Mus musculus: one gene and its partners. The protein of the gene in region 6 purifies or fractionates together with the protein of the main gene of each other region. This does not show direct contact. Links are inferred from orthologs where the notes say so. Each region holds a gene or a part of one and is shown on either strand. Other genes may lie near its edges.

What was found.
Region 1: the proteins of Cdkn1b (region 6) and Cdk6 purify together in Homo sapiens (affinity purification with western blotting; 8 studies listed by BioGRID and IntAct, counting the BioPlex papers as one, with this or other methods). This does not show direct contact. The link is inferred for Mus musculus from reciprocal best matches to the Homo sapiens genes CDKN1B and CDK6.
Region 2: the proteins of Cdkn1b (region 6) and Xpo1 purify together in Homo sapiens (affinity purification with western blotting; 4 studies listed by BioGRID). This does not show direct contact. The link is inferred for Mus musculus from reciprocal best matches to the Homo sapiens genes CDKN1B and XPO1.
Region 3: the proteins of Cdkn1b (region 6) and Ccnd3 purify together in Homo sapiens (affinity purification with western blotting; 9 studies listed by BioGRID and IntAct, counting the BioPlex papers as one, with this or other methods). This does not show direct contact. The link is inferred for Mus musculus from reciprocal best matches to the Homo sapiens genes CDKN1B and CCND3.
Region 4: the proteins of Cdkn1b (region 6) and Ccnb1 purify together in Homo sapiens (affinity purification with mass spectrometry; 5 studies listed by BioGRID and IntAct, with this or other methods). This does not show direct contact. The link is inferred for Mus musculus from reciprocal best matches to the Homo sapiens genes CDKN1B and CCNB1.
Region 5: the proteins of Cdkn1b (region 6) and Spdya purify together in Homo sapiens (affinity purification with western blotting; 3 studies listed by BioGRID). This does not show direct contact. The link is inferred for Mus musculus from reciprocal best matches to the Homo sapiens genes CDKN1B and SPDYA.
Region 7: the proteins of Cdkn1b (region 6) and Ccne2 purify together in Homo sapiens (co-immunoprecipitation; 5 studies listed by BioGRID and IntAct, with this or other methods). This does not show direct contact. The link is inferred for Mus musculus from reciprocal best matches to the Homo sapiens genes CDKN1B and CCNE2.

What each region holds. Positions count from the first base shown.
Region 1 is NC_000071.6:3,342,500-3,346,971, forward strand, and holds the start of Cdk6 (cyclin-dependent kinase 6), read left to right. Parts: upstream 1-1,393; 5' UTR 1,394-1,472; intron 1,473-1,619; 5' UTR 1,620-1,867; coding exon 1,868-2,100; intron 2,101-4,472. UniProt on the Homo sapiens protein: Serine/threonine-protein kinase involved in the control of the cell cycle and differentiation; promotes G1/S transition. Phosphorylates pRB/RB1 and NPM1.
Region 2 is NC_000077.6:23,254,443-23,259,026, reverse strand, and holds the start of Xpo1 (exportin-1), read right to left. Parts: upstream 2,987-4,584; 5' UTR 2,867-2,986; exon of another isoform or gene 2,384-2,866; 5' UTR 2,310-2,383; intron 1-2,309. UniProt on the Homo sapiens protein: Mediates the nuclear export of cellular proteins (cargos) bearing a leucine-rich nuclear export signal (NES) and of RNAs.
Region 3 is NC_000083.6:47,591,772-47,596,348, reverse strand, and holds the start of Ccnd3 (G1/S-specific cyclin-D3), read right to left. Parts: upstream 2,883-4,577; 5' UTR 2,695-2,882; coding exon 2,497-2,694; intron 2,054-2,496; exon of another isoform or gene 2,024-2,053; coding exon of another isoform or gene 1,970-2,023; exon of another isoform or gene 1,950-1,969; coding exon of another isoform or gene 1,944-1,949; intron 1,616-1,943; coding exon 1,400-1,615; intron 276-1,399; exon of another isoform or gene 134-275; intron 1-133. UniProt on the Homo sapiens protein: Regulatory component of the cyclin D3-CDK4 (DC) complex that phosphorylates and inhibits members of the retinoblastoma (RB) protein family including RB1 and regulates the cell-cycle during G(1)/S transition.
Region 4 is NC_000079.6:100,778,082-100,781,010, forward strand, and holds the end of Ccnb1 (G2/mitotic-specific cyclin-B1), read right to left. Parts: intron 2,836-2,929; coding exon 2,695-2,835; intron 2,052-2,694; coding exon 1,941-2,051; intron 1,705-1,940; coding exon 1,597-1,704; 3' UTR 658-1,596; downstream 1-657. UniProt on the Homo sapiens protein: Essential for the control of the cell cycle at the G2/M (mitosis) transition.
Region 5 is NC_000083.6:71,575,870-71,579,674, forward strand, and holds part of Spdya (speedy protein A), read left to right. Parts: intron 1-2,232; coding exon 2,233-2,524; coding exon of another isoform or gene 2,525-2,535; exon of another isoform or gene 2,536-2,831; intron 2,832-3,805. UniProt on the Homo sapiens protein: Regulates the G1/S phase transition of the cell cycle by binding and activating CDK1 and CDK2.
Region 6 is NC_000072.6:134,918,596-134,923,200, reverse strand, and holds the start of Cdkn1b (cyclin-dependent kinase inhibitor 1B), read right to left. Parts: upstream 2,801-4,605; 5' UTR 2,282-2,800; coding exon 1,807-2,281; intron 1,246-1,806; coding exon 1,127-1,245; 3' UTR 1,118-1,126; intron 1-1,117. UniProt on the Homo sapiens protein: Important regulator of cell cycle progression. Inhibits the kinase activity of CDK2 bound to cyclin A, but has little inhibitory activity on CDK2 bound to SPDYA. Involved in G1 arrest. Potent inhibitor of cyclin E- and cyclin A-CDK2 complexes.
Region 7 is NC_000070.6:11,190,242-11,194,736, reverse strand, and holds the start of Ccne2 (G1/S-specific cyclin-E2), read right to left. Parts: upstream 3,029-4,495; 5' UTR 2,922-3,028; intron 2,057-2,921; 5' UTR 2,034-2,056; coding exon 2,020-2,033; intron 1,923-2,019; coding exon 1,826-1,922; intron 1,745-1,825; coding exon 1,691-1,744; intron 812-1,690; coding exon 660-811; intron 1-659. UniProt on the Homo sapiens protein: Essential for the control of the cell cycle at the late G1 and early S phase.

The DNA of each region.
Region 1 (4,472 bases), on a different chromosome or scaffold from region 6:
CACATTCAGCCAGCGTGGGAAAGCAACAACAACTACGAAAAAGTGGAGGAGGGGAGGGGGCTAGGCACCGCCGCTCCGGTCCGGGGGGTGTAGGCCCGCGGGGGTGGGACGGCTGCCCCCTCCTGGAGCCTAGGCTGGACACCGGCAGAGGGGGAGGGCGGGCGCCAAGGCCGTTGCTCCCGCTACCTGTGTGGCCCTCGACCTGGCTCGGACCCCCGGGTGAGGGCTGGAGGGTCCTTTCCGCAGCTTTTTAGGAAAGCTCTCAAAGGAACGGGGAGTGGCCCTGCCTTGGCCGGGCGGTGCTATGCTGGCATCCAGTGGGGGTCGCTCCATGTGTTCTTTAATACCAGGCAGAAGAGCGTGGTGGTGGGGGGGATGGGTACGGGGCAGGTAAACGCATGCAGACCGTTCCGGACACGCGGCTGTGGTGGAACAAGGTCCAGCCCAGACTAAGGCCGCTGTGGGACGGGAAGGCTCACTCGGTCATCCCTAAACAACAGAACGGGGAGGGGGCGCCCGACCGCGCGCGTGGGACCTAGCCTCTGGCCTTTGGAGAACAGAGCGACTGTCTCAGCTACCGACATTCAGCCGCCCAGGATACCGGGCGGGGATTCGGAAGTCTCGACACAAGGGCAGCCCCTTCTCACACCGGGGAGACCTACGTTTACTGCCCCCTACCCCCACCGTCGTAAGGGCGGTTGCTTTTGCACGGCTTGAAAACTTAAGGACCAGTCCCGATTAGCTAGCAAAGTCCCGAAGTTACTTTTTCAGGACAGGACGAGTGAAAGTGTGACGTACCTTCCTTTCCCACATCCTTCGGATCTTTGTGTTTGTGTATGTGTGAGGTGGGGAGCACGACACTACTCCCCTTCCAGGACCCCTCGCTCTCCCACCTCTAGTAGCCCCAGCCCTCCCCTACCAGATGGTCTGTCCTCGCTGAGTTTCCACCAGGGAGGTCCTCCGAATCGGAGGCAGAATTTCGTCTCCCACTAAGCTTGCCATACCCCAAAGACCATTTGTGAGAGCGAGTCCCTTTCAAATGTCTCCCTGTAGAAAAACTGAAAGTAGAAAAGAAAGGAAGCAATTTCCGAGCAGATGTCTGACCACCCCTACTCGCATACTCGCAGCATCGGGTTACAGGGTTCTAGGAGCCCCAACCCCGTTCTGCGGCCCCACGTGGGTGAACCCCCGGTGCTTTTACGCCAGCTTCCGAACTCCCCCAGGTCGCCCCATACCCTGCACGACCAGGCCCCTGGAGTCAGGGAGGGCAGCGGAGAACAATAATATAGGTATAAATATTGAGCCGTGACATTGACGCGCCCGGCGCCTCCCCTCCCCCGCGCTCCGGGCACACTCTGGGCTGCTCGGCACGCCCCCTCTCGTCCCGCTGCGTCCCGCGCTGCGCTCATCCCCGAGGGGCCCCAGCAACCTCTCCTTCGTGAAGACTGCACGAGCCCTGCTGTGGAAGAAAAGTAACTTGGTTTTTCTCCGAGAAACCCGGCCCGATTAGGCAACCAGTGCGAGTAGAGGGAGGAGGAGAGGAGCTGGTGGAACCCTGTGGAAGTCTCCCGGGCAGTCTGATCACACTTTCTCCTTGTCCTCCGGTCTCCTCCTCCTAGGTGCAGAGATTGTGGGCAGACTATGTAATCGCTGCGGAGGGGGAAGAGGAGGGATCGGCGCTCTCCTGCGGCGGCGGCGCGGCGACTCGGCTAGGCGGAGTTTCGCAGCGGCTGCGCCCGGCTTGCACCCGCGGGCGAGAAGGTCGGTCCGTCTAGCCCGGCGGCCGCGAGTCCGACTCCCCGAGGCGTGTAAGGCAGCGAGTGAGCACCCCGGTTCCACTGTGCCGCACCCGCAGCCTGAAGCCAGCATGGAGAAGGACAGCCTGAGTCGCGCCGATCAGCAGTATGAGTGCGTGGCGGAGATCGGCGAAGGCGCCTATGGGAAGGTGTTCAAGGCCCGCGACCTGAAGAACGGCGGCCGCTTCGTGGCTCTGAAGCGCGTGCGAGTGCAGACCAGTGAGGAGGGCATGCCGCTCTCCACCATCCGCGAGGTGGCGGTGCTGAGGCACCTGGAGACCTTCGAGCACCCCAACGTGGTCAGGTGAGCCGGGAGCCCTGGCTATGGGGTCCGGGAAGGTGCTGGGCAAGGGGCGGCTGGTGGCCCAACTAAAGTTAAGAGTTGAGTTTCCCCAGATAAAACCGGTGACTCTGTTAGACAGGGCAGAAAAAGAGACCTGCGGTGGCTTCCGGGCAGCCAAGCTATTCTGAAGAGCTTTCGCTCTGCGTGCCCCAAGGGTTCCGGGGGGGCGTTGGGTGTCTTTTAGGGACAAAACCAGACAATCCCTCCAGCCCTTACTTAACTTTCCCCGTCGGTGGGGGGATTTTTGAGAGACAGAGTGAGATAGTTATCCAGCTTGCAGATAATTAGAAGGAAACTTTAAGGGTGGAGCATAATGTAAATAAAGTTTAAGAAATGTGTAAGAATGTGTTTGCCAATCAAACCCACAGTGGTGACTTTTTTTTTATAGTTGTAGAATGGTTTCTGATGGTCTTAGAAGTTCAGAAGTTTAGACTCTGACACCTAGTGTTAAACATTGTTTGAAAAATGTCTTTCAAGGCTGGGTACTGGGAACACTGAACCAGGAAGATCCAGAGTTCAAGACCCTCCTGAGCTACAAAAGACCCTGTCTGAGAAAAGAAAGGGAGGGAGAGTGGGTGGTAGGGTGGAGGGCGATTGCTTCTCAAAGGGTTTTCTGATTGTATCATTTAGTATCTGTGGACTGGTATGATCTGACTTAGAATGCCTCTCTCATTGGTTAGATGTGAGTCTGTGCTTTAGATTTTAAAGCCTCTGTTTTCCCTGGAAGAGTTGTGCAGGTGGGTGGGGGAGGCATTCCTAACCCAGTCTCCTGTGACTGAAGATAATGGTGTTTTCTCGAAGATGCTGGGATTTCCCCATTGTGCCTTTTCTCATTCTCTTTTTTTAAACAGATGCATAGCTGGAAGTTAAAAGGGAATGCACAGACTTTTCTACAAATTAGGTGATGAGTTAACATTCTCAGCTCTTCTTTTTAGAGGGATGATCTTGGCGTCTTCATCCTGTCTTCTCATTCCTGTAGGGATTCCTTACAACAAATATGTGCCTACTGTATGCCCTGGGATGAAGTTATGTAAATAAGAACAGCTAAATATTTTTGTAAAAGGCAAACAATGTAACATTAGTCATCAAAAAGGAGCGACCCGAGACTGACCTTTGAAATACCAAGCCCTCTAGGACTCAGAGTCTACAGAATCTTCCTGGGAGGTGGTTGTTAAAGGGCTTTTAACTCCTCTACTAGGCTGGGTGTTCGTTTTGTTTTTTGTTTTTTGTTTTTTTTTCTGTTTATTTATTTGTTTGTTTGTCTTTTGGTGGGGTTGGGTTTTTTGTTTTTGTTTTGTTTTTGTTTTTGTTTTTTGCTAGCACTTTGTTCCCAATATAATCAGACTCACAAGTGAATCATACTACATAAATAAGTAAAAAGCCAATGTAAATAAAGGGCCGCCATTATACCTATGCTTTAGTTGGGTGGCAGGGGTATGTGGGGTGCAACAGCAAAAGATAATGAGACGAGGGAGAATGAGTCTTCTAGAAAGTCAGGTTTTACTAAAAGTGGATTACTGTCTGTCTGTCTGTCTGTCTGTCTGTGTCTTGCACTTCAGAGAGGTCTGTGATCCTGAAAGTTGCCTGCTGGCTCAGAGTCATTCACTACCCTAGAGGATCACTATAGCTGTAGGAAAGGATGACTTTCAACATTAGAATTTAATATCAAATTTCGTTTGTCTGTTACCTGTGGGGTGTCCAGATAAAAGGTAATAATCATATATGTAAATAAAAAGTAGCATTCCTCCAAACAAACACCCTTGTATAACCAATCATTGAGTGCAGTTCAATACAAGTCCCTGTAACAGAAGAGTTTTGGCTAGCTCGCTCACCCTGTTCTCCTGTTTTATCCTCCTGTGACTGGTGTGTCTCTAGATGGTTTTTAGTTGATCCCACAGTGGGATTTTGAATTGTGAGTTCAGGAGCATCTGCTTATATGCAAAAAGAAGATGCGCTTTCTAAATTTATTTTACCTCGTTTGACACCTGCCTACTTAGAGTTGTGAGGATAAAGCAAGAGCATAGGTGAAAATCCTCTAAATTTAAAGCCACCTCAGGCACTGGATATGTCAGAGATAATCAGATCCTTGGCCTAGAACAGGTCCCCGGGAAGGCATAATTCTCTGTCTGACATTATTACAGAACAAATCAGATTCCTGTTTAGACACAGCAAGACTTGTGTAAGTCCAGCTTGGTGAGTTTTTTTTTTTTTATATGAATATGGGAGAGGGCCTATGTACAGAGGCAGAAGACCTGTGTCATCGAAGCCCACCCCAGCATGGGTGACAGCTCACAAGGCTGAGACCCTAGAGCATACTGCACACTTGCAGTTAG
Region 2 (4,584 bases), on a different chromosome or scaffold from region 6:
CCCACTCAAACTCCTCACGAGTCCAAAAATTCTTTCATAGGTAGATATGCTCACATTTACACTCATGTAAAGATAAAGAAACTGGGCTGGAGCCCGGCAGTGGTGGCCCAGGCCTTTAATTCCAGCACTTGGAAGGCAGAGGCAGGTGCATTTCTGAGTCTACAGATTTGAGTTCCAGGCCAGCCAGGGCTATACAGAGAAACCCTGTCTCGGAAAAAGAAGAAAGAAAAGAAAAGAAAAGAAAAGAAAAAGAAAAAGAAAAAGAAAAAGAAAAAGAAAAAGAAAAAGAAAAGAAACAAACAAACTGGGCTGGAGAGATAGCTCAGTGGCTGTGCTTCCAAAGGACCCTGGTTCAATTCCCAGCACCCACATTGATCTGTAACTCTGGTTTCTGGTTTTCTGACACCTCCACAAAGACATACATGCAGGCAAAACACCAACAAAACATAAACTAAAAGTAAAAATAAATTATATATTAAAAATTAAAGAAAGCACCTGGGAGGTGAAAGGACAATTAACACCAAGGCCAGTGTTAAGAGATAAGACATATGCAATCCCAGAAGAGATGGAAGCACAGACTGGAATACACAGTGAGACTCTGTCTGTCTTAAGAAGGGAAAAACAGAACACTAATATACAAGAAAAATAAATCCCACTAACAAATAACTATTCTTTCCAATAACTTCAAGTGTCATAACTTTTACAGATTAAAACAGATTTTTCGAGTTTATGGTTAAAAATTGCAACCAACTTGTCTCAGACACTATCTCAATTTATAGTTCTTTAAAAAAAAAAGTAATGATTAAATGTTTAGTCAAATGACCCTACACTTAAGTCCTAAGTTTCATTTTCAAGTTGGTCTTCTCTAAGAATTCAGATACTAGACTCATGTGGGGGAAGGGGTGCAATCTAAGAATACTTAAATACAGTTGTTGGCCTTTCTCGGAACTAGCGGTTATCTTCCAACTTCAACTATAGGTAATCCAGAAATGGCGGCTCTGTGGTCAATGCCAAGCACATTTAGCAGCCCCAACCAAACAGCTTCCAAATAGTCATTCCACCGTCAGCCGTGACACCCACATTCAAGATACAGAATCATGCAGTAAGTAGTGCAGCTATGGAGGGATTGTTCACTTTCTGATTGGTTCACCTGTCTCGTTGGTGTCCCCCAATCCCAAATTCCACTCACTGGATTGTGAACTGTAGGAACCCATCAAACAATGCTGTGACTCTACAAGTGATTGTCCATATACCTTCAATGGCACTGCAAGCAGCAAAACACTACCCACCAGTAGCCATCTAAAAAGGTAAGTTCACAATGAGTCAAAAAACAAGATGCTACAAAAGACTGCTACTCCGTGTGTGGGCAATCGCCTGCTTCATTCAGTAAGAAACACACGCCTCACTAGGAAGGGACCGCCCTCCCCTGGCTTCCCACCCGAACGACTCTCAGCACTTCTAACTATAGCTCACAGGAGCACGCACTCACCCCGCCCATACTCGGAGGAGGCATTTAGACCCGGCGCCTAAGTTCACCGCCCTATTCTCTATGCAGCATGTCCTCTGAGTGATCCGAGGTCCCGCCTCGGCGAGTATTCAGTGCATCCTCTACCACCACTTCCTCTCCTACACCGCAAACTCAAGAAACCAGAAGGAGGAGCAGGGAGGGCATCATTCACTGTCCACGGCCAGCAGTACACGGTTTCACCAAGACATATATGCCCCGGGCGAAAACAACCTACAACACGGAACCCCAACTGCAGGCCCCCGAAAAAAAGAAATTAACTCCTCTTTCCTACTTCTTGTTATACACACACTCACAAAACCAACAACAACAAAAATCACCCACAAGGCTTTCGAGTTTCTTCACATAAGAAGGGACTCGGTAGCCCCTCCCTCCCCCATCCCAAGCTCTCCACCGAGGGGGCCACGTGATGCAGGCGGACGTTTCAATGCTGCTGCACTAAATATTTCTGGAAACTTCCACTCCTAATAATTTACAGAGACGTTCCCGAAATCACCCCCGACTCTCCCCAGCCCTTTGGACTGGGGAAGCCCTTCCACCCACGCGCAGGGGCTCAGCCTCACTACCACGCTCCTCGCCTTCCTCCACCGCCACCCGCACACGAAGATGACCCAGCAAGCGCTCCCCTCCCGCGGCCGCCTCCCCACCTCCATCACCGAGCGACAGAAGCGCTTCCATTCAATCTCAGGCTCCGCCGAGGGCCCCGCGCCCGCCGCCCGCCTCGCCTCATGCCCGCCGCGCCGCCGCCGCCCGACCCTCGGCCCCGAGCACACGACCGACTTACCCAGAAATTCAACCAACTGCTTCTTCCTTCCTTGTCCGGGCTTGGGGCGAGGGAAGGTGGGGAGGAGGGAGAGGGGAGGAAATCAAGGTGGGTTTCACAGTTTTCCCACCTTAAACAAAAAAGAAATTAAAAAGCAGAGAAGGGCAAAAAAAAAAAAAAAAGCTCAGTATTTACTATTCTAGGGACAACTCCACCCAACACACACTCACGCACACACACGCGCGCACGCACACACACGCGCCCCACCAAAAAGGGGAATTAATCCGAGAAATAAATGCTCCCGCCCGGCTGGGGAGGGAAGGAAGGGGGAGGGGAGCGGGCCAGTCCGTGAGACAGAGCCCAGGACCCTCCAGCCACAGGCGGCGGCGGGAGCAGCAGCGCGAGTCCGTACGGCCGGGGCCGCTCTGCCGCCAGTTGCAGTCCGGCTCCCCCTACCACACAGGGCTCCCTCGCTCACGCCGCTCCGGCGCCGGGCCCCCCCACCCGAGCTAGCCTAAACTTTCCCCCCTTCGCGTGCTCCTCAGCGACTGGTGCCTCCCCCCTCCCCCTCGGGATGGTTGCACGACTGCTGCAGCAAAGGCTGGAACAGGCACGGCCGCCGGGGCTGTAGCTACTGTTGCTCTTGCTGATGCTGAAGCTCCCGCTGCTCCTGCCGCGGCCGCTGCAGCCGCTTCTCCCCCTCCTCCTAGTGCCTCAAACTCGGAACCGGTTGAAACCGGTTCAGACTGGGAGATTCCATCTCGGTTGAGTTTTCAGCCCATGGCGCCGCGGAGCGTTTGGAACCTGGGCCTCCGCCCCCAGGCCGCGCGCCCATTGGTCGGCCCCGGCCACAGCCGCGCCATCAGCCTACCTCTTATTGGTCGGAGCGCCCGTCAATCCCACCTCAAGGCTCCACACGAGCCTGCCGCTTAGGCCCCCGCCTCTTTCCAGCAGTGATTTGCCCGCAGAGTGGGGGAGGGGAGGCGGGGCGGGACGCAAAGGAGTGAGGGGGGGGTGGAGGAAGAGAAGGTGGGACGTCGAACAGAGCCCAGCAAAGAGGAGAGCGGAGAAGCCTCACAGAGGATTGGCTTGAGTGAGCTGTCAGTCAAGTGCAGCCCGCCTTCTACATCCCTTTCCCCTCGAGTGGCTCCCCCTCTCGGTCCCTCGCTTGTAAGCCCGGCCTTTCCGGCTCGCCCATTGGCTGGGCGCCTTTGGTGACGGAGAGGGTGGGGTTCGCCCGTGAGCAGAAGGCAGCGCGGGTTTGAGCGCCGCGCGCGTTGCTCGTCTTTCTGCTTTCCCCCCCTCCCCGTTCCCTGGCGGCCCGCCCCCTCGAGCTCCCGCCAACCTCAGGGGCCTCGTCCTGGGGCCCCAGCATCCGCCCTTAGGATGGGGTCTGTGCTCGGAAAAGGGAGGGCACACCCTGTTTCTACATGGAAATAGACGGCCGCGAAGGACCGAAAAGAACACATAGGTGCCGGATGGTAGGCCCTGGGCCTTGGATCCGTTGTAGAGGCCTGGGTTTGGGCACCGCATGGGAACGTGAATAGCACGGGCCGAGGTTGGCATAAACGGGCGTGCAGTTTGGGCGCCTGGAAACGGTTGTCTAGTTAGTTATTGGACGAGCCTCCTTAAAAATTTAACTCTCTACCGGGCAGAGGTGGCGCATGCCCTTAATCCCAGCACTTGGAAGGCAGAGACAGGGATTTCTGAGTTCGAGGCCAGCCTGGTCTACAGAGTGAGCTCGAGGACAGCCAGGGCTACACAGAGAAACCCTGTCTCGAAAAAAAACAACAACAAAAAATTAACTCTCCCCAGACTGCTTCAACAAGAAGTTATTTCTAAAAATTAGTCCTAACACATTGAAAATCCTGTTGCTAACTTAACAATGCGTATAGACAGATTTTGTGCCAACTTCTTTTAACTTGGTGCGTGCCCTTATTATGCCACGCCCCTAGGTTAACCCATGGCTCCCAAGTGCCAGGTCAGTTTTGCTGATTAGGGTTGCTTAAAACAACCAGCAGTTGGGTGGTGGTGACAGAGGCAGAGGCAGGCAGATCTCTTGAATTCAAACAAGCCTGGACTACAGAGCAAGCTCCAGGACAGCCAGAACTACAAAGAGAACCCTATCTGGGGGAAAAACAGCCAGCAGTCCACCAAAATCGACTGGTCTGTTGTGCCACAACATTTATTAAGTCAACACAGTTGACCTGGCATATTGCACAGGCCTGAACTCCCAGCACTTGGGAAGAAGTGACAGGAAGAATAGGAATGCAAGGCCATCCTCAGCTACAGAATA
Region 3 (4,577 bases), on a different chromosome or scaffold from region 6:
ACTCTGACCGCAGGCCACTCTCAGCTCAGGGCCTCGAGCAGGAGAAGGAGGGCTTTGCCTATTCTGAAAAACTCCCCTCACACACAGCCATGTAGACCACCCTTAATCTCTTCACAAAGAGTAAGTCTCCTACCTCCCAGCCTCAATCCCTCAAAAACATCGTGCTCCCTGGCTCTGGAAACTAGATTCATCACAAAGAGCTGTGGGGCCTCCCGGATTCCCAACTCAGGCCTCCCATCCGTGAGAGCTGCTTGACAGGAAGAGGAATCCAGTTCCCCGACTCACAGCAGTCAGGGGCCCCAGTACCCTAGCTTCCCAGCCAGCCAATCACAGGAGTCTGCCTGCTGCCCTCCTCCCTAGGAGATGGGGCCCAGAGACTCCTCTCAGGGTCAGAGAAGGCTTGGCCAGCCACAGAACAAGGTGGAGGGAGGTGCCAGCTCACCCACCCTCTCCCCCAGACCCTGTGGGAGATGACGTTCAAGCTCCCTTCCAGATCCAAGCAGATCCACCTCCTCCCTAGACTCCTCCGGGGCAGGGCAGAACCCAACCGATTTTTTTTTTTTTTTTTTTTTTTTTTTGCCCCGCCTGGAGGAGCCCAGCCCAAGTTCCCAGCAAGAGGCCCCAAGGAGCCACTTCCCAAACCACAGGAGTGACAGCAGCTCCCCACAGGGTTATGAAAGCCCTTGGTCTGAGTGGGAGGGCCAGGGGACCGGCATCATTATCACATCGGAAGCAGCTGCAGCTCAGCTCCCTGTCTGTCTCGGCTCTGGCCTTTGGCTGAGCAGCAAAGGGAGAAACTCTTCCACGGGCCCAGAGCAGCTGCTCGAGTTTTTCAGAAGGAAGACAAGAAAGGGAGGGTTTAGAAAAGAGCGGTGTCTTCGGGGATAGGAGGGAAAGGGATGAAAACACCTCAGCGCTTCCTTCCAGCGAGCAGGGCCTGGCTTTAATCAGCTCCGGGAGGCTTTTCCATCACAAAGTCCACACGGGGATAAAGGCTCATGCAAGGCAGCCCCCTCCCCCACGTGAAGCACATTCCACTCCGGTGGGGGTGTGCAGACATGCCCTGCTGCTGCCAATAAATAACTCACGGTGGCTGTGTAAACCCAGAGGCAAAGTACTGGTGTATAGACCCGCAATTGGACTTGTTGCTATTGGGGGGGGGGGGGGCGAGTTAGGAGTGGAACCCCACTGCGGCCAGAGGAAAGGGATTCATTTAGTTTTAAGCTTGCAACCGAAGCACCACGACCACACTACAAGGCCTTTGTCCCAAAATACCAGCCAGGGGCGAAGGGAGGGTTGGTGGGTGAGGGAGTGAGCTTGGCTTTTCTTTTACTAGTACATAGGGCGATCGTATGTTTGGTGGAGGGGCGGGGGGGGGGGGGGAGGATTCCGCACGCACCCGCAACTGCCATGGAGCCACAGCCTGGTCCGTATAGATGCAAAGCTTCTCAATAGTCAGGGGCGTGGTTTCGCGCAGCTTGGAGGCCAGCAACAGGCAGACGGTACCTAGAAGCTGCAATTGCGCCTTTCGGGTGGGGACGCAGGACAGGTAGCGATCCAGGTAGTTCATAGCCAGAGGGAAGACATCCTCCTCGCAGCGCTGCTCCTCACACACCTGAGGGAGGGCGCACGAGTCATTGCTAGGGAAGGACCAAGTGAAACACGGCAGCGTGGAGAAGTGGGGGTGGGGGGTGGAGGGAGAGTGGAATGCGAAGCAAAAAATAAACCGAGAAGGGATAAACTTAGAGCGACAAGTATCAATAACCGAGGAGGATGTGCCCTCCCCAAGGTGACCCCCCCACTTCCTCTGCATGGTCTCTTCCCCACCCCGGAGTAGGGGGTGTAAAAGAGAAGCCCATGCTCACGAAGGATTCCAGACTCCCCTCCCCCACGGCGAGCGGAAGGGGGACGGAAGGGTCACCTAGAGAGAATTGGGACCTTACCCTCATTACCGCCACCCACTGCACACACACTCCCAGGGGGAAGGGAGGGAACTCCTGCCGCGGTCTCCCGCACTTTTCATTTCCCTGTGGACCGGAACCGAGCCTGCGCCACCCCCACCCACCAGTTTCCCCCGCCAGAACCCCGCGATAGACACAGGAACCAGTTCTGGGGCTAAGGCGGCCGAGGCCAGGGTTTTCCAAACGCGCCCTCCAGAGAGCACCGGGTGAAGAAGGAAGCAGGAGACACCGAGGAAAGCCACTGGGGAAAGAGTGGCCCTTAGCCCGCTTTCCCGACCCAAAGTGAAGTTTAGTTACAGTGCCAAGTGACTGGAAATCACAGAAGAAGCCGATCAGGATTGGGGAAAGGAAAGGGACAGAACGCAGGCAGCTGCTTAGGGCGCCTGTGTGAAAAGGCCAGGCCCCAGTAGTCTGGGCCGCCAAAGCATCTTGCAGATTGTGGTCGGGATCGCAAAGATCCGACAGGGAAAGTTCAATTTGTCCCAGAGCCGGGGGTGGGGGTGGGGTGAGGAGAGGGGACCCGTTCGGGCCTTACCTCCAGCATCCAGTATGCCAGCATCTTCCGCATGTGCGGCTTGATCTCCTTTTGCACGCACTGGAAGTAGGAGGCTCGCGGCACGTAGCGCTCCTCCAGGCGGAGTAAACTCTGCAGGACACGCTGGTCCCCAAGCAGCCGCGGGTCGGGCCCGGCCCGGGGCGCGTGCCGGGTGCCCTCGCAACACAGCAGCTCCATCCTGCGATGGCTCACGGGTGAGAGCAAGAGTGCGGGTTAGCGAGTCCTAGGAGAAGCGACGCGCGTGAGGGAGAGCGCGGGGTGCGGGCGGGTCTGGCGCTGGCGCTGGCACTGTGCGGAGAAGCCCCAGCCCGCCCGCCACCCGCGCGCACCGCTTCCCTGACAGGCGCCCCGCCCCTCGCGACGATGTAGCAACCGTGGAATGCTCCTACGTCACAACGTTCTAAGGGGCGGGGCCGCAGTCGGAAAGGGCTGGCGGGCGCTATACCCTCCCTCCCTCCCCGCAGCCCCATTGGTCCGCTGGGCTCCGGCCCGCACGCTTCCGGGCCCTCGGGTCCCTTCTGACCAAGAGGGTAGAGAGAACTTTCTGGAAGGGTGCCCTCTTCCCCATCAATGGGCCCCGTCGCGATTCTAGCCACCCAGGAAAGAACTAGGCGCCAAAAGTTATTCCTTCGTGTATACGTCATATTTCATTGCTCTAGGGAATGTGGTCATAACTTTGTACATAGTTGGGTCACTCCTACCCTAAAGTGGCTTCTAGGAATGGCCTCGAGTTGGGCTTTATTTTGCAGACCATGATACTGAGGCACAATAGTAGCTGCAAAGATCTCATTGTTGGTCCGTCGGGAAACTTGACTTAGAATCTCGTCTACTTTAACGAATTGCGCAGATCTGCAGCAGCATCTGGGAGCATGTAGTTTCTGTCCGATTCAATGGCTCAGAGGGTAAACTATCCTGGCATCAAGTCTGGCAACCTGAGTGTGATCCCTGGGACCCACATGATGGAAGAGAAGAGAGCAACTCCCATAAGCTGTCCTCTGACTTCTACACCAAGGCTGTATGTAGCATGTGCGCACACACCTTCATGCACATACACAACGAAAATAAAAAGCAAAAGAAGAAATGCAGTTTCTCAGGTCTGCTGAATGGGACACTGCGTTGCACCAACGGAGGTGTGAGCAGTGTTGGTCAAAATCAGCATATAAAAAGCCATTTGGTGCTGGCTGTGGTGGAGCAAGCCAGTAATCTCAGACCCAGGGAAGTGTTGGCTTAACACCAGGATCCACTATCCACTATACAGACAATTCAAGGCCTGCCTAGAGTCTCTCTCTCTCTCTCTCTCTCTCTCTCCACACACACACACACACACACACACACACACACACACACACACACGGTGGCAGGGGGTGGGCTGCAGATATATCTCAGGTGGTAGAGCTCTTGCTTAGCATGCTCAGAGCCCAGGGCTCAATCCCCAGCACTGCAGAACCCAGAAACGATCAGAAGATTAAGGTCACTGTCTGCTTCCTAATGAGTTCAGGAGCAGCCTGGGCTATATAAGATTTTATCACAAAACCAAGCAAACCAAATGATAATAGCCCATGGAGAATTCCAGGCCAGCCAGACCCATGTCAGATGACTCAAATAACAAGGAAGGAAGGAAGGAAGGAAGGAAGGAAGGAAGGAAGGAAGACAGGCATGACAGAGCACCCCTTTAATCCCAGCACTTTGAAGACAGAGGCAAGCAGATTTCTTTGAGTTCAAAGCCAGCCTAGTCTAAATAAGAGTTCTAGGTCAGGAGGAGCTAATATCATGAGACTATGTCTCAAAAACAAAAATCAAGGGAAAAAAGGATGTAATAAGGAAGGCAGGAAAGAGGAAAGGAGGGAAAGAAAGAAGAAAGCCCACCACTAAGACACTGCTCTCTCTGCTCAGCCCAAGTGAGCCCCAGGAAAGCACAGGACAATATATAAGCAGTGAGATCCATCTACACACTAGTCTACACACTGGACTATGCACTGGTCTACACACTAGTCTACACACTGGTCTACACACTAGTCTTGCGCTGAGCAAGGGGTCAGAATCCACATATGGGGATGGCT
Region 4 (2,929 bases), on a different chromosome or scaffold from region 6:
CTCAGGATTATACAGTGAAGGCCCAACAAGAGGTTTCTAAGTGCTGGGCGTGGTGGCGCACGCCTTTAATCCCAGCACTCAGGAGGCAGAGGCAGGTGGACTTCTGAGTTTGAGGCCAGCCTGGTCTACAGAGTGAGCTCCAGGACAGCCAGGGCTACAGAGAAACCCTGTCTCGAAAAACCAAAAAAAAAAAAAGTTTCCAAGTAACAAGATACACGCAGATGCACTCGTTAAGCCGTATGTAGCCACAGAAACTCTTAGAACTCAGTTTTAAAAATTCCTATCATGGGCTGGACAATTGGCCCAGTGGTTAAGAGCACTGGCTGTTCTTCCAGAAAACCTGGGTTCAATTCCCAGTAGGCAAATGTCAGTTTATAACTGTAACTCCAGTTCCAGGGGATTGGACATCCTTTTTTGAAAAATATATTAAAAAAGAGAGAGAAAAAAAGAAAAGAAAAAAAAAGTCCTATTATTACAGGGGAATAACACCATTTAGATCAGATATGTACACTTAAAAACCTGGGCTGGATTACAAGGTGTGCACACTTGGGAGTTGGCCGACCTTGGCTGAAAATCGAAAACTATGTTTATTAGCAACATAAAGTCTCCATATTGCAAAGACAACATAAACAGTCAAAAGGGCAAATGAGAATTGTGAAAGCTTTCCACCAATAAATTTTATTCAACTTGATATCAGATGTATAAATTAAAACAGCAAATGAGACAGGATTCTTTTCCAGGTGGCATTACAAGACAGGAGTGGCGCCTTGGTATGGTGGCAGCCACACCCATCTGGCTGTCAGAATTCAAAGCACACCCCTGGAAGAGCTACTATGAATGAAGCCAAGCAAGACATTAAACATCATTTAAGAACACTGTGGAGGGCACTGAGAGAATGCACTTGAATCCCACCGAGGGAATGACTATGTTACACACAGTTTGTTCACACTAGGAAATGCAATATAGGCATTGAAAGGAATGCTGATAGGAATACTGTTGATAAAATGAACCCATATAAAAATATCTCCTTGGGAGTATATGCATGATTATATCTATACAGGATATACAAGAATACACCCTTATCTGTTGATAGTGAGACTTGGGGGCAAATTCTTTTTAAAACACACCTTTAATTTTGAACATCCTATTTTCCAATTAAGAACAAATAAATAATTACATAAAAAAAGATACTTGGTTTCAGATCTGAAAGTTGACAAACCAAGAGACAGTGGTTAAAGGTGGCAACCACTGGAAAATGGAACAAAGGACTAGCTGGTAGATTTAGAGTTTAAACTAGAGTGAGGCAGAAGACATGATGATATAAGGACACACAGTGAAGGATGTATATAGACATATAGGCTACAGATATATACATTAGTTGGATCCACTGTTAAAACTAGATGCAGTTTTTAATATACTCCTAAATTCGACAACTTCCGTTAGCCTAAACTCAGAAGCAACAACATTCAAATGAGTTAAGCTATGTAAAATGAGAAGTCACAACCTTTATTGAAGAGCAAGTAAACACGGTAGGTATCCTATGTACAGGCGGCACATGGTGCCAACTGCATCTGCAGATGTAGCAGTCTATTGGAGTTATGCCTTTGTCACGGCCTTAGACAAATTCTGAACTAGTGTACAGTTCAGCTGTGCCAGCGTGCTGATCTTAGCATGCTTAGATGCTGCATACTTGTTCTTGACAGTCTGTAAGAGAAAAGCACTGCAATCAGGAAGAAGAAAAACATTGCCATTGGGGGTGTGTTGGGGGGGGGGTGGGGAAGAGAAGTAGAAACAATGTAATTATATTTTAACTTAAAAAATGAAATTAAACAACCTTTCTATAGAGTCCTGGCTGGCTCTAAACTCAAAACTTGCCTCTTCCTGCCTTGCATGGTGGGACTATAGGCCATAAACCAGCCTTAAATTTTCAATGGACTCACCATGTGCTTTGTGAGGCCACAGTTCACCATGACTACATTCTTAGCCAGGTGCTGCATAACAGGAAGCAGGGAGTCTTCACTGTAGGATAGGTAGTGCTGCAGAGTTGGTGTCTAAGAGAACAAAAACATGCTTAAAACACCGGCGGCTTTTATAAACTTTAAAAAAAAAAAGATTTATTTATTATTATGTATAAGTACACTGTAGCTGTCTTTAGACACACCAGAAGAGGGCGCCAGTTCTCAGTATGGATGGCTGTGAGCCACCACGTGGTTGCTGGGATTTGAACTCGGGACCTTCGGAAGAGCAGTCAGTCAGTGTGCTCTTACCCACTGAGCCATCTCACCAGCCCTCCTTTTATAAACTTTCTAGATGCTATTTAAGAGTCTGGTGGGTGAACAGTGTGATTACACATGAAACAAGATCTTTTTGCCCACATATACTTCTGGAAGAGCTTGAGCTCTAAGCACAATATTGTAACTGTGGCTTCTCTATCCCAAGGTCAGGGTAGCACCCTGTCCGTACAAGAGAAATGCACCTCCAAGGATGTGGACAGGTTTCTTAGATCACTTGGTGTGGCTTCCTCTCTCCAAAGGGTGTTATCCTAAAGACTGAAGTTAGCTACAGCACTGAGATGGCAGCGCAGCATTTGGGTTACCATTTATGGTCACACTCCTTCCATATTAGGACCCAGGAGAGTGATCTCAACACCAAGTGGTCCGTTCCAATGCTTGGTAGTTTGGTGAGACAGCTTACCCATTCACCGTTGTCAAGAATTTTCAGCGCTAAGCAGAAAGCCCCAGCTGCAATTTGAGAAGGAGCAAAATGCACCATGTCGTAGTCCAGCATGGAGAGCTCCATGAGGTATTTGGCCAAAGTGTGCTGCTCGACGTCAACCTGGAACAGACCACACCACTCTAAGCCTTCAGCACTAACTTAAAAAGCCCTGCCCTGCCGGGACTACAAACTCTCAAAGACAACTGTCCCCAGA
Region 5 (3,805 bases), on a different chromosome or scaffold from region 6:
ATGACTTAGTAGTAAGCTGGCTATAGCATATCTGGAAATATGAATACTTTGACTTCTTTTTGTTATTTTTATCCTTTTAATTTCCCTTTCTGTCTTATTACTTTACAGGGTTCAAAATCACAAATACCACTTTTTGTATCTTAGATTTTTATAGAAATGTATAGCTTATATACATATATGTACAGCTGACATGAAAAAATACAGCTGGGTATAGTGGCACATGCCTTTAATCCCAGCATGTGGGAGGCAGAGGCAGGTGGATCTCTGTGAGTTTAAGACTAATCCTGGTCTCCAGGCCAGCCAAGGCTACCAAAGAAGATCCTGCCTCAAAATGATGATGATGATGATGATTTTAAAAATAAAAGCACCAAAAATATAAAGGGAACTAATAGGGAGGGTAAGGAGCAAAAAAAGTGAGGGTAGCTCAGGGTGGGGGTACACTTAAATTACATTACTTCTGTCTTAGGGTTTTACTGCTGTGAACAGATACCATGACCAAGGCAACTCTTATAAGGACAACAGTTGATTGGGGCTAGCTTACAGGCTCATTATCATCAAGGCAGGAACATGGCAGCATCCATAGTGCAGAAAGAGCTGACAGTTCTACATCTTCATCTGAAAGCTGCTAGCAAAATACTGACTTCCAGGCAGTTAGGATGAGGGTCTTAAAGCCCATGCCCACAGTGACATACATACCTACTCCAACAAGCACACACCTCCAAATAGTGCCACTCTCTAGGCCAAGCATATTCAAACCATGACATTCCACTCACTGGCCCCCAGCTTGGTCTACAGAGCAAGTTCTAGGACAACCAGAGATACACAGATATGTCTTAAAACGTAACAACAAAAAGAGTTCTTTCTCATCAAAAACATATATAAGTCCTTATACATAGGCTCCTAAAACAGCTTCTCTAATAATGCTGCCTTCCCTTGTCCCTCCCAGGTCCCCAGTATAGCTCTAAAATTTCAGAATTTTTAAACATTTTTAAGAAATCACTAGTTTAGGCAAATAGTATGACTGTTTGGCTTTCATTTTAGGATTATTATAACTTATCACTTACTGTGGATCATTGATAACTACAGCTAAAGACTTTGACTTAAATCTCATTATTTTGGATTTCATAAGGTCAATATATTATACTTTTCCTTATCTTGACTTCTTAAATGGCTATCATTTGCCAGATGCTAATTATGTGGTAAGGATTTTACATGTAATATTGAATCTCAAAACAATATTTGTGGTAGTTAGCAACCCCATTTTATCAATGAAGTAACAGAACCTCAGAAAGGTTAAATAATTTGCTCTGTAGCATATATAGTCAACAAGTGGTAGAACCAGGATAAGAAAGTCTACAACTAAAGCCCACGCTTGATTTAAAAACCTTATGACAATGCCTGACAGGGAGAAATCTTAAGTGCTTTATAAAATGTATCCTTTCCTCACAACTTTCTAAAAGTATACTCTTGTCTCTGTGTAACAAATAAGGAAACTGAAGGACAAAGAAGTTAATCTACATGTTTTTAAAAAATAACACATCCCTTGATATAACTGTAAATATTTTAAGATTAGCCTAACATAGTTAAGAGCCCATTTTTTACCAACACATACAAAAGAATTATATAATGTTTTATACTATATTATTATCTTTTCTAAACTTAGAAATATTTGAAAATTTAAAAATAAATACCCTGCTACGCTCCATTAATCCCAGCAGTCAAAGGCAGAGACTGAGTTTGAAGACAGCCAGGTCTGCATAGAGCACCTTATCTCAAAAACAAACTGACTGACTAAATAAATAGCAACTGAGAAGGTTGCTTCATTTATATTATCTACTTGAACTAATTTAGATACTTTGTCAATATTAATATTAATGATCCAAGAAATCACTCTACAGAAAATGCTGCTATGGATGATTTGATGTTGCTGATTTAAAGTTTGTAACTTAAGTATTTCTATTGTTCTGGGAGGGGCTGTTTTTTGTCTGTTTTGTTGTTGTTGTTGTTTTCCTAAGACAGGATTTCTCTGTGTAGCCCTGGAGCTCAATTCTGTAGACCAGACCAGCCTAGAACTCAGAGATTCACCTGCCTCTCTGTTGAGATGAAAGGTGTACACCACAACAGCCTTTTTCCCCCCTTTTTTTTAGGTAATTTGGCTGTTATTTTACAATTTCTGTACTTTACTCAATTTTAAAATGTTATTAAATTCACAAAGTAACCTTTTCACTATAGGTCATGGCCATTGCGCCAACCCATTACATCTGGCAACGAGAGCGGTCTGTGCATCACAGTGGAGCTGTTAGGAACTACAACAGAGATGAGGTTCACCTGCCCAGGGGACCTAGTGCCACACCAGTGGATTGCTCACTGTGTGGTAAAAAAGGAAGATACGTGAGACTGGGACTGTCTTCATCCTCATCTTCCTCCAGTGACACAGGAGAGCTAATGGAAAAAGATTCTCAGGAACTACACAGTGCATTCTCAGTGGACACGGCAGGTGACCCTCCTCATACCTATTCTCAAGGTATGGCTTAATGGCAGGTAGACTAATGCATGCTCTCTACCTACTAGACCTTACAGGCAGGGATGCATAGTTTACATAACTGCGTTGCATTTGTATTGAAAGTTTTCCCCCTTCAAGTTACCACTTTTTATCCTATCTATACCCATGTTGTGCTAGCCTACACACACTAAAAAGGATTGTAACATATATTAAACTTCACCTCACTATGCTACGAGGTCCAACTATTAAGGCTTGAAGGGTTTCTATGACATGTTTATTTTATTTAAAAATGTTTTCAAGAAAATAAATTTACTTCTAATCACCATCCAACTATTGGTTTCTTCTCTATACTTTTCTATTTCTAACAAAATTAGGCCATATTTTAGCCAGGCTAGCTTTTTTTATTTACTATGAATCATTTTCCTATGTCATTTAGTGTTTGAAAACCTTATTGTGATATGTGTAATTTATTTGCATATATCATTGTTGAGTTCTAAATGATTACTTAGAACAATGATATATTAACTAGAAAATAATTAACCATAAATACAAACTATGCCATAATTTTCAAATTATCTTTATGTGTAGTATTTCCCTGTCATTTTTCTTTGCTAGATTTGAAACAGTACTAAAGTACTCTGCAATGGGATCCTGTTTACTCCTTACAGATTTCCCTCATTTGAAAAACAGATTTCACTAGGCAGTAGTGGCACACACACCTTTAATCTCAGAACTTGAGAGGCAGAGGCAGGAGAATTTCTGAGTTCGAGGCCAGCCTGGTCTGCACAATGAGTTCCAGGACAGCCAGGGCTACAGAGAAATCTTGTCGAAAACAAAACAGAAAAAGAAAAAGGAAAAAAAAAACCCAGATTTTTTTTGTAGACTCTTTTATCATAGAAAAAAAAAAAAAACAGACCTACATCAGTCAGATTTTTACTACTTTATCTTTACCATATTCCTATGAGAAGGACAATGACTACTGAAGTGTCACTAAAAGGGGAACTAAACTCCAGTCCAGTGGCTTCCAACCTTCCTAATGCTGTGACATTGTAACACAGTTCCTCATGTTGTGGTGACTCCCAACCATAAAATTATTTTTGTTATTACTTCATAACTATAATTTTGCTACTGTTATAAATCCTAATATAAATATTTGTGTTTTCTGATGGTTGTTTGGGGGTCATGACCCACAGGTGGAAAACCACTGCTCTAGTCCCTTGGCAGTAGAGCATAGCTCCTGTTCCTTTTACTGGACACAGTATTTGCTTAACAAATTTCACTGGCAGTATAGTCTCTTGCTTT
Region 6 (4,605 bases):
TTTTCTTCATAAGGAGCTTATAAACTATTATAAGTAGTTAGAGCATATGAATAGTCAATCTATGTAAATTTAGGGGCTGGGTTACTCTAATTAGGCAAGTGGGGTGATGAGATTTTTGACACATGGAAAAATCCACACTTGTGTTGGACCTTCTCAGTTGGTCCTAACATCTACTATCCATTTCCCCTATAAACATCCAAACCGTCCTGTTCCAGCAAATTAGCATACGGTGCTGACGTGTGGGAAGGCTGCTTCCTCTAGCTGTTCATTTAACTTCTGCTTTGTAACCTCAGGGTTAAAATCAATTCTGTGGGAGCATTAGTACTTCTGAACTTTCCAGTCTAATTTTTTTTTTAAGTATGAAGTTCCTTTCTCTCCAAAATTTACCAGCATACAAGGCACAACTTTAAAAAAAAATAAAAAAGTACCCAGAGGTGATGGCACACAACCTCTAATCTCAGCACTCAGGAGGCAGAGACAATACAGATCTCTGTGAGTTCGAAGCCAGCGTGGTCTACAGAGCAATTCCCAGAATAGCCCGAGCTGTTTGTTACACAGAGAAACCCTATCTCAAAAAACCAAAAACCAAAACAAAAGCAAAAGATAAAAAGAACTCGAGCCACGGCAGCTCTATTCACACTCCTAATCAAACGTGCACTATGGGTACCTAGTTTTTCTCTTAAGAACATACATGTAAGTATATATTTGCCATTTTTCTACAGTTCAAATGGTTCAAAATAGGCTATTGGCTCAAAACGAACCTCTGGGAAATGGGTTCTCATGAACTGAGACTGGAAAGGAAAACTGTCATTCCCAGCCTAAGTTTTAGTGGGATTCATAAGGATACGACCGTCCCTATCCTTTGGGGCCTTGGTGGCAAGTTCTTGCTTGGGAACCTCATTCTGATTCCACTTTAAGGTAAATATCTTGGGGTGCAAATACTGCATTATAGTCCCCTCAAGTGATTCCAGCCTTCCCCAGTGTTAATTTTTTTGATCAAGGAAAGTAATTCCTCCTGGCAGGCAACTAATCTGCCAGCAGTCCTGGGGTCTGCAGGCCCCCCGGGGAGCGCAGCCCAGATGGGGTGTCAGTTTTGTGTTCTTCCTCATTAACCCACCGGAGCTGTTTACGTCTGGCGTCGAAGGCCGGGCTTCTTGGGCGTCTGCTCCACAGTGCCAGCGTTCGGGGAACCGTCTGAAACATTTTCTTCTGTTCTGTTGGCCCTTTTGTTTTGCGAAGAAGAATCTAAGAGGGGGGCAAGGGGAAATTTTTAAGAGAACACACACAAACCATCTTTATTATCGACAACAATGGCTGACAGAAGTAGGCCCAAGGGATGAACAACCCACTCACTACCTCCACCCACGACCCCTGGACCCGTCATCCCCGGTAGCATCTAAGGACACAAAATAAGGTTGTTCCCACTAACACAAGGAGTATTCTACACCCCACGTCTCTTCCCCACCCCCATCCCCACCCCCACCCCCCCACCCCAGCCAAGGAGGAGGCAGTTGGTAAACATCCGAACTTTTGTCACGTATCTACAGCTGGCTAGAGGGGAGGAACTGTGATGCGTTCGGCTACGGAAGTTATCACATCTTACTATCTCCGGCTTCTGACTTCAAAATCATAAACAGGGCAAGCAGTCGGATAGGGGGTATGTCAAACCTAAGCTTCAAACAAGTTCGATTTCCCAGAGCTAAAGCAGAACACGCTGGAGAAAGCAAGTGAACAGGGTCTAGTAAAGGGGCGCTTACGGAGACAGACAGACAGACAGACATTTTAAGTTTTCCAAAGAGTCACTACCTTCTGCAGCAGGTCGCTTCCTCATCCCTGGACACTGCTCCGCTAACCCAGCCGGATTGTCTGACGAGTCAGGCATTTGGTCCACCAAATGCCGGTCCTCAGAGTTTGCCTGAGACCCAATTAAAGGCACCGCCTGGCGGCTCCCGCTGACATCCTGGCTCTCCTGCGCCAGCACCTTGCAGGCGCTCTTGGGGGGGCGCGGGGGCCTGTAGTAGAACTCGGGCAAGCTGCCCCTCTCCACCTCCTGCCACTCGTATCTGCCCTCCAGGGGCTTATGATTCTGAAAGTCGAAATTCCACTTGCGCTGACTCGCTTCTTCCATATCCCGGCAGTGCTTCTCCAAGTCCCGGGTTAGTTCTTCATGATTGACCGGGCCGAAGAGATTTCTGCAGGCGGAAGGCTTGGGGTGCTCCGCTTGTCTGGCGTCCATCCGCTCCAGGCTCGGGCTCCCGTTAGACACTCTCACGTTTGACATCTTCCTCCTCGGGCGGGTGTGGACCACCGCCTCGCCTCTCTCCGGAAAAAAAAAAATGAAATAAACAACAAAACCGAACAAAAGCGAAACGCCACGGATGGAGCGCAAAACCCTCTTCGAAGTTCTGCGACTGCACACAGACAGTCAAATGGAGCAGAGCCAGGCGAGCGACCGCCCGAGCCGCAGTAGCGCGCAGGTCTGGGGAAGAGAGGCGCAGGGACACCCCAGCCGCCGCGCAGCTCGAGGCTTCAGTGATCAAGTGTACTGGAGGGCGGGGAAGGGAGGGGAGGAGGCAGGAGGAGGTGGCAAACAGTCGGAGCGTAGGCTGGGGCGAGCCCGTGTGTCCCGCGAACGCAGCCCCTCTCCAAACCTTGCCGCCGCGCGAGTCTCGGAGCCGCGAGTGAGTCGGGACAAGGGATGAGGGGGGAAAACACCCCAAAAGCACGAGCCCCCCTCCTTTTTTAGTTGCCCAATATGGCGGTGGAAGGGAGGCTGACGAAGAAGAAGATGATTGACACTGCAAGTCTATTTAAACAGAGGAGGAGCTCCATTGGTCTCGGCGCCGGGAGCCGCTCCGCCCAGGCTGGCGAGCGCGCTCTTAAGGTGGCCCCGGGCGCGGCGCCGCCGCCTCTCCGCGCTCCCGAGCGCGCCGCCTCCCCGTAGCGCCGCCAGGACATTGGCTGGTCGCGTGACTACTCGGAGGTGTACGACTGCCAACAAACCTGCTCTGGCTGGCCCCGGAGAAATTAAAAATAAGACAAACAAACTAGCCAAACGGCCGGAGAGCTGGGGAGGGGCCAGCGCGGCGGCCAGGCAGGGACCCGGGGATCTAGGTCCCGGCGCTGCAGAGCTGCGCTGGCAGGCGCGTCACCGCTCCCGACTGCGACCTCCAGGTCTTTGCCCGCGAAACCTAGGGCCTGGACCAGTGGGCTCCTAGGTCGCTGGCGGCTTATTAGGAGCTTCGGTGGCTAGTTCAGCCCACCTGCATTCGCCGAGGTGGGAATGGAGGAGGGTATGCGAGAGATTCAGGAAACCTTGGCTCAGGGCCTGGGGCAGCCCACCCACCCCCACCCGGCAGGGTGCCTTAGCTGGGGTGCGGAATCGGCCGCTTAGCCTGACCCCAGAAGTCTCTGCTATGTAGGACAGGCCAGGAGGTGGTTTCAAAAAGAAGCCAGGACTGACCGCTCTTATCAGGGTGTTTCTGAATCCAAGCGCTTCCACCGTAGGATCTCGAGATTGAAAACCCCCAGTGCTCTCCCAAGCCTCTCTTTAGAGCCGTCCCAGACAGAAATCAGAAAAAGCCAGTTCTGATTTTCTTGGTTCCTAAGCACAGTGAAAGCCATTGCTATAGCGTGTGGGAACTCGCCTTTATACCCTTATGTTCTTTCCCGGGCGAAGCCGTTCCCTCCACCTGAGTCCAGACGCCAACTACAACAGTGCCTTCCTTCTCTTTTTTCTCCCACCAGCCTGTTGCTTCCAACCTACTCAGTACAATATTCAAATACAAGCAAATACTTTTAGAGAGCTGCAGGTTGTTAAAGGGCGAAAACACTTTCCTAAGGATCTAAGACTAGATTTGCAAGTGATTTATAATACCACCACCACGGTATTACCAACATCTAGTAATGTTGGGTGGGTTTTTTTCAGCTCCTTGGGCAACTTCACATTTCTCTATCACTGCTGAGCACAGTGACAGAAGTTAAAACAGAATAGCCAGGCCTGTCGTATCTCAGAGTTCAGTGAGATTTTAAGGGCTTTGCCCACTAGTATTCCCAAACAGTCTTGGTTTGCGCTAAACACAAAACATGTTACAGGAAATTAAATTTCTGGTTTAGTGTCCCAAAGAAGCATGGTTTTCCTATCTTCCTCTGGTGTAGGTGAGACTGAATATTGACTTGTTTTCTTAGCCACATCTTTGCCAGGATGTGTGTGTGTGTGTGTGTGTGTGTGTGTGCGCGCGCGCGCGCGCACGTGCACGTGTGTGTGTGTGTGTGTGTGTGTGTGTGTGTGTGTGTGTGTGTGCCTTGCCTCCTGCATTCAAAATGTAACAGTCCAGAAAGTTCTTAGATAGGTTTAGCCTCTTTTTACCAATGAGGAAATTGATACTCAGGTTTCCTGTCTGGGGACTTCTATTCAGTTGGTGGCAGAGTCTCCTCATTCTCGGCTGGTTTGGGTTTTGTCTGTTTTCTTCTGGTGGTCTCAGTGTTCCTGATTTTGTCTGGATTTGGATGGGTTGCAGTCTGCAGACTCTACTCTCTTACAAGGATCCAAAAGGTCTCTTTCCAGGCCTTGGATGCCCACAGATGTCTCCTTGATCATCAAGT
Region 7 (4,495 bases), on a different chromosome or scaffold from region 6:
TGCCTGTTTCTGCCTCCTGAGTGCTAGGCACGTATCATTATCACCCAGTAAGATAAAAATAAATATATGTGTATGTAAAAATAAGTATATGATCACAGTGATAATTAAGTTTCAACATTTGAAAATATAGCAGCATCATTTATAATGATTTTTAAGGTGGAACAAAGTATCAGGCACAGAGATAGTTTGTCTGCCTCCATTAATTTGCTTATTCAAGTCAAATGTCAATTACTATATGAATATTTTCTATAAGCTCTACTTCTTAATCATATCACAACTGATAGTAAACTTGGTAAGGAGTAAGTAGAGTTGTCAATTGAAACTACTGTTCATTTAAAAATGTTCTAATTTTAACTAGGCAAATTTAAGCTACATTTTAAAAAGTAGTTCAGTTCTGCTATGTCTAGAAACATTTACCAAGCAAGTTAAGTAAAACCCAAGTTTGGGTTTTAAGTATATCACTTGCTATCATTTGCAAATATCTCATGTAGAATGATACATGCTTACTTTCAGTAAGTGAAGCACTAAAAGACAAACAAACCCCCCCCCCAAAATCAAGTTTCCATATTTTATATTAAAGTCAAAAGAAAATACCTGGCATTGCTTTAATTCTACCACTTTTAATGTTTAGCATAAAGTTACTAAAAAATTTTCTTTACCTTAAATCTGGCAGAGGTGAGGGATTAATAAAAAGATTTTTAAATCTGTAATTTGTAAATCTAGAGAAGTCACTTGTTCCTATTTCTTTATGGGGTGTTTCAATGATAATGCAAGGGCTGATTCCTCCAGACAGTACAGGTGGCCAACAATTCTGTCATTTCAAAACAGAAAGAGAAAAACTTGTTAGTGCATTAAGAAACCTTGGCTTTTGTTCTACAATTTCAAATGATAGCCAATTTGATGTTCGTATTTTATTTTTGTTTTGTGTTTTGTTTTTTTCGAGACAGGGTTTCTCTGTGTATCCCTGGCTGTCCTGGAACTCACTCTGTAGACCAGGCTGGCCTCTGCCTCCCAAGTGCTGGGATTAAAGGCATGCGCCACCACGCCCAGCCCTGTATTTTATTTTTAAAGCCATATAATTCATATTAGTCTTCTTAAGTTAGATAACGAAGCCTGGTAATACAAGGTAATACAATACTTAATGTACTGAAATAATAACATGCATTTTAATGTAAAGTGAAATAATTTTAAGACTAGTTCTCTGAATCTAGAAATTCTAGCAAGGATACTTTTTTAAAAAATAGCTCTTTTTAACGTGTTTTCTAATACTTGAATGTGAAAACATCAAAAAATTTAGTCAAGTGGAATCACTTAGAGAATCTTTTTGAAAGAATTACCATCTCCAAGTAAACACATAGGAAGGGATCCCAAAGCCGGGTTGCCAAACTGACAGTGATCTCACATCCTTTTTATGCCACTCATTAGCTATTAGGGCCCTCCACTGTAGTCTGAAAATGAACAAAGAGCAGTATATAGGCAGACCTAGTATACCAGCCAGCTCCAAAAGGGAGGGATTTACCAAAGGGAACCAGCTGCTTCTAAGCCATCTACACTGCAGCTGTAGGACTCAGGCTTATATGAACCTCCTTCAAGTTCACCTCTAAAGTATCAGAATCTTCCCACTATAAGGCAATAACACATGATTCCACTCTTATTCTTCCCCAGCCCACCCTGTCCAGTTCTGCATTACCCTAATCTCATACTGATGCTTCTTGGTGATCTCCTCTTTTCTTTTTTTGACATCCTGAAGAATAGAAAAGAACATGTAAACTAAGGTTTCAGCAAGGAATATTTTTCCCTTTCTCCCTCTTTTTCCTTAAATCACCTGTGCTGTTTTTCTCTTCTTGGCCTGAATTATCTGGGTTTCTTGCGGAGAGTCTGGCTGGTTGGGCTGGGCATGTTGCTTAGCTTGTAAACGGCTACTGTGATGAATTGTAGAAAGGAAGCTTAATTAGTACGTCATATATTTCAAAAGCAGCAGCTAATTTTGAAACATGTCTCCAAGACTAACACTGTTACCTGCGTCTTGACATTCTCTTCAAGGACTATGAAACCTCTAAATAGGGGAGAAGAAAAACAAAATCAAGAACATAGTCATCCATAATCTTCAAGTTCCAAATTAAAACTGATTCAGAAGTTACCAACTAACGTTACTAGAAGGTGGCCTAAACCTTTAAAAATAAAACACTGCACTATTTTCTGAAATACACTCGCTATCTCAGTAATTTTACATTCATGCTTTCATTTCCTTAACTGTACACTGGGAACGCGAGTGCGTTCAGGAATTTGCAAAGTCCCCTAGCACCCTTAGATGATCATCTGGGCCATTCATGCACTCCCCAGGACAACCAGGGTGGGAAAGGCACGTCCTGGCCTCGGCCGCCAGGCGCCTGGACGAGCCTCCAAGAGCGGGCTGTGGAGAAGCCGGTTCCGCGCCAATTTGGAGAGCGGCTGTGGCGGGGAAGCAGGGGGTGGAGGGAACCTTCTGGTGTCACGTCCTCCAGGCTCCTTTCCCTCCTTCCCAGCCCCACCCGGCGGGCAGTGTCGCTTGCAGGGGTGACGGGACCCCAATTCCAGAAGAGCAGAAGGAAAGGGGGGGGGGAATTAAAGGAGAAAACCGTGCTTAAGAATCTCTCCGTGAAGTGATCCCACCTTAATCCTCTCGCGCGGGAGACCTTCCCCAAGTGAGGATGGACAGAGAAGCTCCCAGAGAAGCTTTGCCGTGGCCTCTCATTTGGGGACACACTCCATCCCCTGCCTCTGCTTGGCCTCCTGACAAGAATCCTGACAGGGACCAACCTCGGGAACCCCTGAATTCCAGTCTCCTACTTCTTGTCCCACCCCCGCCCCCCATTTTTCCTCTCCCATGGCTCCCGCCAGACGTGGTTCCCTTAGCTCCCGCATGCCCCTGTCCCCAATACCTCCTCACCGCCAGACCCTCCACAGCTCGGCTCAGCTGGCGCCGGCGCCAACTCAATATATAGGCCGGGCCCGGACCGCCCCGCACGCATGCGCCGCAGACTGACACCTCGGCCGGCGCCTTCCCCTCCCCCACCCGCGCCCGCCCAGCTCGCCCGCGCGCGCCGCGCCCTGCCCTCAGTGCGCGCGGACGGGCTGGCGGGCGGGCGGGCGCCGAGTGGCCGTACGGCTGCCCTCCTGGACCGTGCTCCTCCGCCCCTCTCGGCGCTTCACCTGCGCGCGCCGCGGCTGCACGGCTCAGAGGCTCCTCCCCCATGCTGGTTGCCCACCACAGGCTCCCGCACGCCTTCCAGTTCGCGCCGGGCCCCCTCACGGTGGCTCTTAGATCTCGGAGTGTCAGGCTACGGTTCGGCTCCGCGTTTTGGCAGAGGCCTTGGGAGGGCTGGGGTGGGGAACCCCAAGTCTCCTCAGAGGCACGGGGAGCGGGAGCCTAGGGCCCACCCCTCCGGGAGGAGCCGGCCAATGGCAGGAGAGGACGGCAGCACAACGTGGAGCGGCCGCAGAATGTAAACACGCCGGAGCGCGCCGCCCGCCACGTGCGGAGCCGGAGCCATCCGCCGGGCGACGAGCGGGCGGCGGCGCACAGGAAGGTGCCTCAGCGCGGCCGGACGAGGTACGTGGGAGCCTTGTCCCCGCGCGCCGCCGAGCGGCCACTCCGCTCTTGCCTACGGCTCCCTCCCAGAGCCCGCGCGGGAAATATTGGCGCCGCGCGCTGCCTTTCTCCTCAGACGCCTGTTCCGGGCGCTGACCACCTCTCGGGACTCCAGCGGGCGCCCTCCCCGTCCGCACGCACGAGCGCCGAGGCTCTGGGGACCTGGCCGGAGAGCAGGACGGTCCGCACCACGTGCGCGCCCGGGCCGCGCCGCGCCGCGCCGCGCCCCGCCCCGGCCCTGCCCGGCAGCCAGCGCGCCCTGCGGAGCCCGCGCGAACTGCCTGCGCGGGAGCGCCTCCCGCCTGCGAGCGCTGCCGGGACGTGGCGGGCCGCCCCGCGCCGCTCCTAAGCCCCGGGCTCCGACTACCTCTCGGCGCCCTGCGCACCCTCAGGCCGGGCTTGCGGGTGACACGGCACACACAGTCCCGTGGCGCGACGCCGCTTGGGGAACAAAGACCACCCCCAGGCCGCGGAAGCGCAGGAAGGGCTCCCGCAGGCCGGCGGTCCCGCGCTTAGCCATCCTGGTCCGGAGTGAGCCGGTGCGAGGGCGCCAAGGACAGCGGCCGCGCGGCCCGGCCCTTCCCGAGATGCACCTGGAGGCCTCCGGCCGCGGTGGGCCTTTTGTGCCACGCTGTGGTTAAGAGCCCAGGAAGGCCCTCGTCACACTTCCCGGGTCTTCGCATGGTCCTTCACACCGGCTAAAGCTTACTTTCCCAGCTTTACACGTAGACAGGATCAGAGGAGACCCAGTGCCTTGTCTAGGCCTAAGGAGCGTTCACCCAACCCATAATTGCTTATCAAGACTGGGGGGGGGGGGGGGAGTTACCTCCCTTTGCTGGAGCTGTCGTCTTGTACAGCTTGAGA